Linked DNA regions of Coturnix japonica. The protein of the gene in region 2 binds, or shares a complex with, the protein of the main gene of each other region. Links are inferred from orthologs where the notes say so. Each region holds a gene or a part of one and is shown on either strand. Other genes may lie near its edges.

Evidence for each region.
Region 1: SNIP1 (region 2) and SNRPG share a complex: the UniProt entries of both Homo sapiens proteins name them as parts of the minor spliceosome. The link is inferred for Coturnix japonica from reciprocal best matches to the Homo sapiens genes SNIP1 and SNRPG.

What each region holds. Positions count from the first base shown.
Region 1 is NC_029537.1:790,986-795,572, reverse strand, and holds SNRPG (small nuclear ribonucleoprotein G), read right to left. Parts: upstream 2,751-4,587; 5' UTR 2,664-2,750; coding exon 2,632-2,663; intron 2,435-2,631; coding exon 2,412-2,434; intron 2,283-2,411; coding exon 2,158-2,282; intron 1,673-2,157; coding exon 1,622-1,672; 3' UTR 1,500-1,621; downstream 1-1,499. Other genes in the region: protein FAM136A, read right to left, coding at 3,654-3,842. UniProt on the Homo sapiens protein: Plays a role in pre-mRNA splicing as a core component of the spliceosomal U1, U2, U4 and U5 small nuclear ribonucleoproteins (snRNPs), the building blocks of the spliceosome.
Region 2 is NC_029538.1:3,338,252-3,343,871, forward strand, and holds SNIP1 (smad nuclear-interacting protein 1), read left to right. Parts: upstream 1-1,566; 5' UTR 1,567-1,590; coding exon 1,591-1,742; intron 1,743-1,824; coding exon 1,825-1,921; intron 1,922-2,777; coding exon 2,778-3,361; intron 3,362-4,022; coding exon 4,023-4,287; 3' UTR 4,288-5,494; downstream 5,495-5,620. Other genes in the region: DNALI1 (axonemal dynein light intermediate polypeptide 1), read right to left, coding at 1-136, 219-355, 1,356-1,436. UniProt on the Homo sapiens protein: Required for pre-mRNA splicing as component of the spliceosome. As a component of the minor spliceosome, involved in the splicing of U12-type introns in pre-mRNAs. Down-regulates NF-kappa-B signaling by competing with RELA for CREBBP/EP300 binding.

The sequences.
Region 1 (4,587 bases), on a different chromosome or scaffold from region 2:
TTTCTCCTCCTACGACTCTGTCAAGGTGAAGAAGTGGCTGGCGTACCCCCACTACAGCCCCCCGAACAAATTCCCACCTATCATCCTCCATGACAACATCTACTACCTGAATGGCATCGAGTGGGCTGCCAGTGCTATGGAGATGAGCTCCATCGCAGCCAAAAACGCCGCGCTGCTCGCCTACCACCGCTGGTACGGCAACACAGACAAGATCGACCAGGAAGACTTGTATGAGAAACTGAAAACAGAGCTTTGAGCTGTGCACCACCGCGGCTCCCAGAGATAAAGCCCGTGTGTTGAAGATGTGTAGTTGCAACTAAAAGGAACGAAGGAGCTGCTTGGATGCTGTGATTTTATTCTAACTCACTTCTCACTTAGCCTCGAAGAAGGAGGAAGCATCCAGCCAGCTCCAGGCATGAATTCACTTGAACTGCTGTCAAAAGTGGGGGGGCATTTCCTCATGTGAGCCGGCCCTCCCTCAAGCAAAGCCTTCAATCTGTCCCTCTGTAAGATAACCAAGGTACTTTAAATGCCATATTGACCCTTAAGTGTCCTTCAGATCCTACCAAGCCCAGGATCTGCATCACTGTGATTAACTGAGCACTGATCCCTTAGACCTGCGCATGTTGCTTTCCCTTTCTGGACATCTCTCTGTTGAATAAGTCAGCTTGTTAGCATTAAATCTCTCTGCTTCTGCTTTTTGAAGGGGTGTATCAAGGATTGTACCCCATCCCCTTGGGGTGGGACTGGTGAAGGGAAATGGCGATCATCTACTTGCTGCTGAACCTCACTCATGTCTTAACTACGTAGTAAATACCATGTTGCCATTACAAATAAAAGCAACACACTGGTTTGAATGTAAGCAGGTGCTGCCTTGAACTGTTGTCTGTGTTACCTGCATTGTGCTGTGTCTCAGAGCTGCTGCTCGGTTCTCCATCAGCAGAGTTCTCCTGTACCAGCAAGTTGTGCTTGCTTAGCTCAAACTCCCACTAACAAGCCTCCACTAGTGTAGCCTCACTCTTGCTGTGCTAGAAAAGATGAATGCACTTGATTAAAGCTAAATTGCAGGACTTGCACTGAGATTAGCAGCATCACAGGAGTCCGTACGTGCTGGAACACGATTCAACTCTTAGAAGCTTGCTGGTACCCTGGGGTCAATGCTTTGTTCTGTCTGCTTGGGGGCAATGAGAATAACCAAAACCACTTTTGCCTCAGCACAGAGGTGGAGACCAGCACAAAGTTGCAGGCAAACACTTGAGCAGGACAGATATTTCAGTCCCCTTCACTCTTTACAGAGCAATGCTAGGAATAGAAGTGCCACAGCCTGTTATTTATGGGGGGGGGTTTAAAGATATAGCCAGTATCATTTGAACACCCACTCAAAGAAATAAAGCTGCCTGAAAGCCATCCTCCAGCTTTAAAGCTGCCACTGACACACTGCTGCACTCACAAGATTAACTGCCCCAGGCTTCAGTTCCACCAAGCACAGCTCACACGGGTTACACCAACCAGTACAAAATTTATTTAACAAAAAATAAGCTTACACTTGTGGTTGCTTCATTAGGTTCAGGTGAGTAAACAAAACACAACGGGGTCGGGTCACTACAGGGTTCCTCTGCCACTATACTCGTTCCAAAGCTTCCAGCATAATGATGCTGTTTCCTCGTATTACCTACAAAGAGAAGTTGTCAGCAGGAGGTGAGATGAAGCACGTTATGCCCACAGCACAGAAGGTTTTCTTTCCCTTTGACTTTTCCTCCTAGAAAGCTGCATGGCATGTGCAGCTCCAAGAGCTGAAGTGAATGAGAGAACTGCAGGGGCTCATGGCAGCAGTCAGCCGGCTGGAAAAGGCTCCTGCAGGAGGGTGGTTGATAGAAAAGGTGGATGAGAGCTTGATATAAGACAGCAATGTATTCTTGTGACCTCACAGCCAGCTGGGCTGCCACCCCTCTGTTACTGCAGCAGACACGGAGGGCTCTGTCCCATCCTGCTCTGCCCTCCTGAGGCTGTTCCCCATTCCTAGAGGTGCCCAAGGCCACGGATGGGCACTGGGAGGCCTGAACTGAAAGGAAGCCCCCAGCCCAAAGCCCAAAGCCCAAAGCCCCCAGCCCAAGGCACAAAGTGGGCCTGGGGGCTGCCATCCCCCCCAGCACTCACCACCATCCCGATGTTGTTCTGCTGCCCTCCAGGCGCCATCTCCACGCACTCATCGATCACCAGGTTCATGAAGGGGTCGAAGCCCCGTAGGATCCCCTGCACGTGGCGGCCGCCATTTAACTTCACTACGAGAAACCGGCTCATTCAGAAACAAGGGGAGGGGGGGGTTAAAAGGGAAGGGAGGGATGGGGGGGGGGGGGGGGCTTTGTGAATGTGGGCTCATGGCACAACCCCGTTATAACAGCGGGACTCACACGACAGCTTCTTGTCCATGAACCTGCAACGAGAGCGCAAACAGAGCAGGCCGCATCAGTGTGGGGTCGGGACCGCCATCATTGCGGGCCCAACCGGACCCAGACCGAACCCGAACCGGACCCCACGGCCCCTCCCGACCCTCTGGGCCCCCCTCATCCCCTTCAGTCCTCCCTTATCCCCCCTCATCCCCCCTCATCCCCATGTTGGCCCAGCTCTCACTTCTTCAGCTCGGGTGGGTGCGCTTTGCTCATGGCGTCTCCTCAGCGCCGCTGCCGCTCGCGCCGCGTAATGACGTCATCACGTCGCACGCTACGCCCAAAGCCCCGCCCCCTTTTCCCGCCAACCTTCGCATCTCGCCGGCAGCCAATCAGAGCGCTCGGACGCGGCGCGCGTGCGCGTTTGGAGCGGCCCCCATGCAGCACGTGCATGGAGACCTGCAGCTCTGCTGCATTGCATGCACCGCGCATTGCACACCCACTGTATGCACGGCATTGCACACACACAAAGGCACTGATACACGTATTGCAAGCCCTGCACGGCTCACCGTGCACACCTTGCACAGCCATCGGCTCACAGCTGGCAGTGTGCACCCTTTGCACACTGCACCCTTTGCACACCCTGCACCCTTTGCACACCCTGCACCATTTGCACACCCTGCACCATTTGCACACTGCACCCTTTGCACACTGCACCTTTGCACACTGCACCTTTGCACACCCTGCACCCTTTGCACACCCTGCACCCTTTGCACACCCTGCACCATTTGCACACCTGCACCCTTTGCACACCTGCACCCTTTGCACACTGCACCTTTGCACACCTGCACCCTTTGCACACCTGCACCCTTTGCACACCCTGCAACATTTGCACACTGCACCCTTTGCACACTGCACCCTTTGCACACTGCACCCTTTACACACCAGCACCCTTTGCACACAGTGCCCCACACCCTGCAGAAGCACTACCCCACACCTTGCACACCTGCACACACCTTACGCAGCCATCACCCCACACTTTGCACACCTGTACCCTATCTATACACTGCACATTTGCATGGCTCATCCCACCCCCTATACACTGCACAGCCATCACCCCATACTTTGCACACACCCACCCCATACATTACACAGCCACCACCCCACACCTTGCACCCCCACACCCCAAACCCCCAGCACCCCTCGAGCACCACGAGTGCAGCTCCTTGCCTTTAATACCACCTTCCCCCACCCCAACAGCACCCGCTAGTGCTGTAGGGCCGCCAAGCCATCCCGCATCCTCTTGGCCATGCCTGGCACCAGGCGTAGGTGCTCGTCCCCACAGGCAGCAACGCAGGCGTCGAGCTGGGAGCGTGCCCTTGTCTCCCCACCGCCCGCCTCCAGGGCATCCTTGGCTCTGTCAGAGCAGTGCAGCGTGCAGCGGCTCAGGCGGTCCTGCAAGGGGATAAAGGGGCATAGATCAGGAGAGTGATAGAACCACAGGGGTTGGAAGGGACCTCTGGGGCTCCCCCATGGTGATAAGCATTGACTGGATCCCCTCTCAGCCTCTGCAGGTGAACAGCCCTCGGGGCTCTCAGCCTTCTCCCATCAGGGGATGCTCCTCCAGGCCTCCACCATCTCTATGTCCCTACATCAGCTCCCTGCCTGGAGCTGAGCAGCCACAGCTGGACCCAGTGCTGCAGATGCGGCCTCAGGGCAGAGCAGGAGCACCTCCCTCACCCTACTGGCCACGCTCTTTTTAAAGGACCCCAGGGTCCAACTGGTCTTCATGGCCACCAGGATGCACTGCTGGCTCATGGTCAGCCTGTGGGCAATCAATGGTCAACTGTTGGTCAGCCATCGGTCAACTGTTGGTCAACCATTGGTCAACTGCTGGTCAACCATTCACTGGTCAACCATTGGTCAACTGCTGGTCAACCACTGGTCAACTGTTGGTCAATCATTGGTCAGCAGTTGGTCAACCACTGGTTGACCACTGGTCCAACGTTGGTCAACTAGAAGCCAACCAGGACCCCCAGATCCTTCTCTGCAGAGCTCCTCATCCAGCAGCTCAGCCCCCAGCCTGCACTGATACGTGTGGCCCTTCCCCCCCAAGGTGTAGGACCCCTCATTAACTCAGATGAACCTCATTAGGTTCCTCTCTGCTCAGCTCTCAGCCTGCTCAGGTCTCATTGAACAC
Region 2 (5,620 bases):
ACAGATGCCGGTCTCCCTCGCCTGCCGCTGTTGCAGCTTCAGATCCAGCTGCTCCTGCAGCTGCACGACGTCCAGCCGGGTGCTGGGAACACTGGACACCTCCTGCACCCACAGCCGGTTATCCTCCTCCCATGACCTGCACCGGAAAGCAGCAGCGATGGAGCTCGGCGGGGCGGTCCTGAGTTAAGGCTCTTGTTGTTCCCCCCTCCCCGGCTCACCGCGGCGGTAGGATGGCGTTCAGGATCTCCTGAGGTTCCTTCGTGGAGGCGGCGGAGGCGGCAGCAGTGCGAGGTCGGGACGGAGGGACAGGGCCTGATGGCGGGGAGGCCTGTGGGGTTCCCTTCAACGGTGAGGCCTGAAGGGAGAAAGCGGTGTGAGCAGGATGGGTGAGGTGTGAGGGCTCCCCCCGTCCCATTCAGAATCACAGAAACACAGAATTATCAAGGTTGGAAAAGACTTCACTAGGAGAGTGGTGAGGCCCTGGAACAGGCTGCCCAGGGAGGTTGTGGATGCCCCGTCCTTGGAGGTGTACAAGGCCAGGTTGGACGGGGCCATGGGCAACCTGATCTATGGGGTCTCTATGGGGATCTATGGGGTCTCTATGGGGGTCTATGGGGTCTCTATGAGGATCTATGGGGTCTCTATGGGGATCTATGGGGATCTATGGGGGATCTATGGGGTCTCTATGGGGTCTCCTGGGCAACCTGATCTAGTAAATGTGTATGTTTGGTGGCCCTGCTTGGCAGGGGGGTTGGAACTACATGATCCTTGAGGTCCCTTCCAACCCGGGTCATTCTGTGACCTAGAAGATCATCTAGTCCAACCATTCCCAATACTTCCCAGCTAAATCATATTCATCAACACAACATCCAGATGTTTCTTGAACACTCCCATGGTCAGTGACTCCACCACCTCTTTGGGCAGTGCATTATAATGCCTGACTACCCTTCCTGAGAAGCAATACTTCCTAATATCCAGCGTGACTCTCCCCTGACACAGCTTAAAACCATTCCCTCTACTTCTATCATGGATTAGAGGCTCACTACAACCTCCCTTCTAACTTCTAACTAAGGGAGTTATAGAGGGCTATAAGGTCTCCCCTGAGCCTCTTCTTCAGGCTGAACAACCCCATCTCCCTCAGCTTCTTCTTATAAGTCCCCATTATGCTCCAGACCCCTCACCAGCTTCATAACCCTTTTCTGAATGTATTCTCAATGTCTTTCTTGCAGTGAGGTGCCCAAAACTGAACACAGGGGGACAATTACCTCCCTGTTGCTGCTAGTAACACTGGTTTTGATACAATATAGGATTCCTTTGGCCTTCATGGGCCATAATATCGGTTCATATTCACTCACCTCTGGTGATCGCTTCTCAGTACGGCGACTCACCAGCATGGGCGGGTTATAACGCAGCAGCGAATCGGGCGGTGGGATCATGGCGGCTCCTCGGTCGCTATGGTTATAAACGCCGCTCCGTTGTTTGTTCTAAAGGCGCATGAGCGTTAGGTAAAGATGTAGTTCCGGGTGGTTGAGAGAGAGGTAACACGGATGTGAAAACGTAATTCCGGTTGTGGGGGGAGTCGGTAGCAAGATGGAGGCTGAGAGTGAGAGGAGGAGGAGGGAGAGAAGGAGGGGGGAGATGGCGGTGAAGGCCGAGAAGCGCAGCCCACGGAGCTGCGGGTCCCGTTCGGCTTATGGGAGCCAATCCCCCCCCATTGAGGAGCGACGGGGCAGGAGCAGCAGGTAGGAGGCCTCATAGGGCCTTATTACGGCCCTGTATCGTAACCCTGAGGTTCTGTGCATTTCTTGTGTACTTGATTTAAAGGTCGCCTAAAAGGAAGAGTAAATCCGGCCGGAGGAGCAAATCACCGCGGGGGAGGAGGAGCAGGAGTCCGCACCATGGAGGTGTGAGGGTAAAGCAGGTAAATGGCGTTGGGAGAGGCCAGGCCCCACAGATCCCCATAGAGACCCCACAGATCCCCACAGAGATCCCATAGACACCCCATAGAGCCCCATAGAGACCCACTGAACCCCATACAGACCCCATGCAGACCCCATAGAGCCCCACAGACAACCCATAGATCCCCAAAGACACCCCATAGATCATGTTGCCCATGGCCCCGTCCAACCTGGCCTTGAACACCTCCAAGGACGGGGCATCCACAACCTCCCTGTGCAGCCTGTTTCAGGGCCTAACCACTCTCCTAGTGAAGAACTTCCCCCTAACATCCAACCCAAATCTTCCCTCTTTTAACTTAAAACCATTTCCCCGTGTCCTGCTATTGTCAGCCCTTTCCAAGAGTTTACTCCCCTCCTGGGAGTAAGTTCCCTTCAGGTATTGAAAGGCTGCAATGAGGTCACCCCGCAACCTTCTCTTCTCTAGGCTGAACAAACCCAACTCCCTCAGCCTGTCCTCATAGGGGAGGTGCTCCAGCCCCCTGATCCCTCTAGAATAACTCTTAAGGAAGAGAGAGTCTTACAGTGTAACATCTCCTTGCTCTCTGCTTCGTGTTTTCCTGGAAAGAACTGAGTGTTTGTACCTTTTAGTGAGCCCAGCCCCTGTTATTCCTGTAAGAAAATGAGTATTTGTGCCTTTAAGTGAGCCCAGCCTGCAGGCTGACCCTGAAGGCTGATGTTATGATGCATTGCTCTCTGTCAGCCTTGCATTGTTGGGCCCAAGTTGTGGGAATTCACTTTGGAAGGAAATAAATAAATCTAGATATACACGTACCATGTTACAGTCTGTGTTTTTCATGTGTTTTCTGTCTTCTTCCTCAGGAACGAGACGATCATCCTCACAGAGGAAATGAAGAGAGAAAGCAGAGACACACGTCAGAGCAAGAACACAGACGAGATAGAAGCGGTGACAGAGACAGGCACAGAGATCACTCAGACAGGAGGAAAAAGGAGGAAAGACCTGGAGGTCGAGGCCATGAGAGAGAAAGAGATGTTCAGAACATCCGTGAGCAACAAGCAGAGAGGGAGTTCTATAACGAAAGAAGACGAGAGCATCGACAGAACAACGAGGGGAGCGGTGCTGAGCAGAATCCAGAACACAAACAATCTGATAACAAACCAAAAGATAAAGCTGTAAACAAAGAAAAACCAAGCTTTGAACTGTCTGGTGCCCTTCTGGAGGATACCAACACTTTCCGAGGCGTTGTGATTAAATACAGTGAGCCCCCAGAAGCTCGGATTCCAAAGAAACGATGGCGTCTCTATCCATTTAAAAACGATGAGTTCCTGCCTGTCATGTACATTCATAGGCAGAGTGCTTATCTCCTGGGCAGGCACCGCAGGATAGCAGATATCCCCATTGATCATCCCTCCTGCTCAAAGCAACACGCTGTGTTCCAATACCGGTCAGTATCGCTCTGTATCCCTCTGGTAGGTGGGGATTATTTGGTCGCTTGCGTGCAAAGGGAATCAAAGAACGTATTGGATGTGCACAGATTAGAAAATGCATGTTTGCTCAATGGTTTTAGATAGGTGGAATTTAGGTATGGATGTAACATATATGTAATTCCTTTTTGTTTAACCATAAGCAGCCTCGTGACTCTTAACATATATATAATTCCTTTTGGTTTAACCATATCTAGACTTTTAGTAAGAAACACAACACAACAGGATGAAATACAGAACTGCCTGTATATCTGAATTGGAGTTATTAGCAGGTGGGATTGGCAATAAAGAACGTTTAAAGGAGGGTTTTTCATTTGTTCCTTCCCAACAAAGGCTGCCGATCTCCTTTATAAACAGCAGGGTTGTGTGCTTCAGGAGGCAGAGCTGCTCTCTTAAGGAACAACCATCTGTTCTGCTTCAGGATTTACTATGTTATATGATCATAACTTTAAGGGGTGAAGCAGTCTGTCAGAATCTTGAGTATTTCCGTGCCCTGTCTAATTATTCTCATTGTACTTGCTCAGATCTTTGAAGTATGGTTAAGTATTTACAACAGTGGGGCTGATGTGTTGAAAAATCCATGTGTTATCATTGACTTGATGGGTTGTTTTTGTTTTCTAGGCTTGTGGAGCACACACGCGCTGATGGCACAGTTGGCCGCAGGGTAAAGCCGTATATCATTGATCTTGGTTCTGGCAATGGTACTTTTCTAAACAACCAGAGGATTGAGCCTCAACGTTACTACGAACTGAAAGAAAAGGATGTATTGAAGTTTGGCTTCAGCAGCAGGGAGTACGTCCTTCTCCATGAATCATCTGATAAATCAGAGGCCAACGCAAAGGACGATGATGAGGAAGAGGAGAAGGAGGAAGAGTCCGATAGTTAACAGACATGAAGGCAATTGGGGATGGGGGAGCAGGGGAGAGGAATCTTTTACAATAAAACATGCATTGGGATGGAGATGTTGGAGCATCAAAGCACTGGTGCTTCTTATTGCCTTAAAGTCCTTCTGTTGCTGACTGGTTCTTATGGTTTATTGTGGGGGACTCCACTGAATATTTGGCTTTGGTAGGTCTGTATAGTGGGAAATCTGACTTATTTCACCCCCCTGACAAGCAAAAGAGCAGCTGGATGTGAATGATCTGATGCTGGAAACATGTTCAAAGATGGTTTTCTGCTGGATAAAGAAACGATGTAGAACACAGCAAAGTGTATTTAAGAATATTTTTATCCACTGTTTTTTGTCATAAGCCTTTGAAAACGCTACTGAACTGAGGTGTTAGTTTCAAATGTAACCCCATGCATTGTTTGTAATGTCTTGTTTTGTAGAGTTTGCCAAATTCTAGAGTTCTAGAAGGGAGAATGACCAGGTTTGCTACTAAAAGAGGGATATTGCAAAGGTTTTATGTGTCCTGGGTGGTTGCTCTGCACTGTGAGCAATGGGCATTTGACCACAATGAGCTGCCTGTCGATTCCAAGGTAAGTGAGAAGAAAAGGAAACACAACCTGAGGCTTTTAGGTTGCAACGATGTGGTTTGGGAGGGCTGAGGTCCACATCAATGCACGCTATACATTGCAGCACCCAAACTATGGCTGACTGTCATGTATCTCCTAAACCTCAGCCCTTTGTTTCTATCAGCTCCATGAGTAACTTAATGTTTTTTGTTTGTAATTGTACTCGTTACGTGGTGGCATGTTTTTATTACCCGGTTTGCACTATTTAAGTTTTTCTTTATATATATATATATATATATAAAAAGAACTGAAGCTCTCGTTGCTTTCTAACATTCTCCCCCACAGGAAAAGCTTTAGGAAGAGGAAATTAAAAACCCCAATGACTGGAAACAAACACATCTCACCTCTTTGTGGCTGTCTGTTCCCTATGGTTTCCATGTTGATGCTTAACACACTGTTGCCTGTTTGTTCTATGGCCACACACACAACCTGTATACACACACTGGAGCATTGATGGTGTAAATACGGGGTGTTGATATAGGTTTTCATATAGAAAGCAGGATAGATCTTGGCTTGAAGGATCACCTTTATATATATACACAATCTCAAGGTTTTTAAATAAAGAATTTGTAATTCTATTTAATTGTAATGTTTCTTTCCTATATCCCTATTTCCCCCCCATGCACTGCACAGGGAAGCACTGAGCCCTGCTTTTGAGCTGCTGAGTGAGCAGAAGGGTTCAACCTTATATTCGAGGTTTGCCT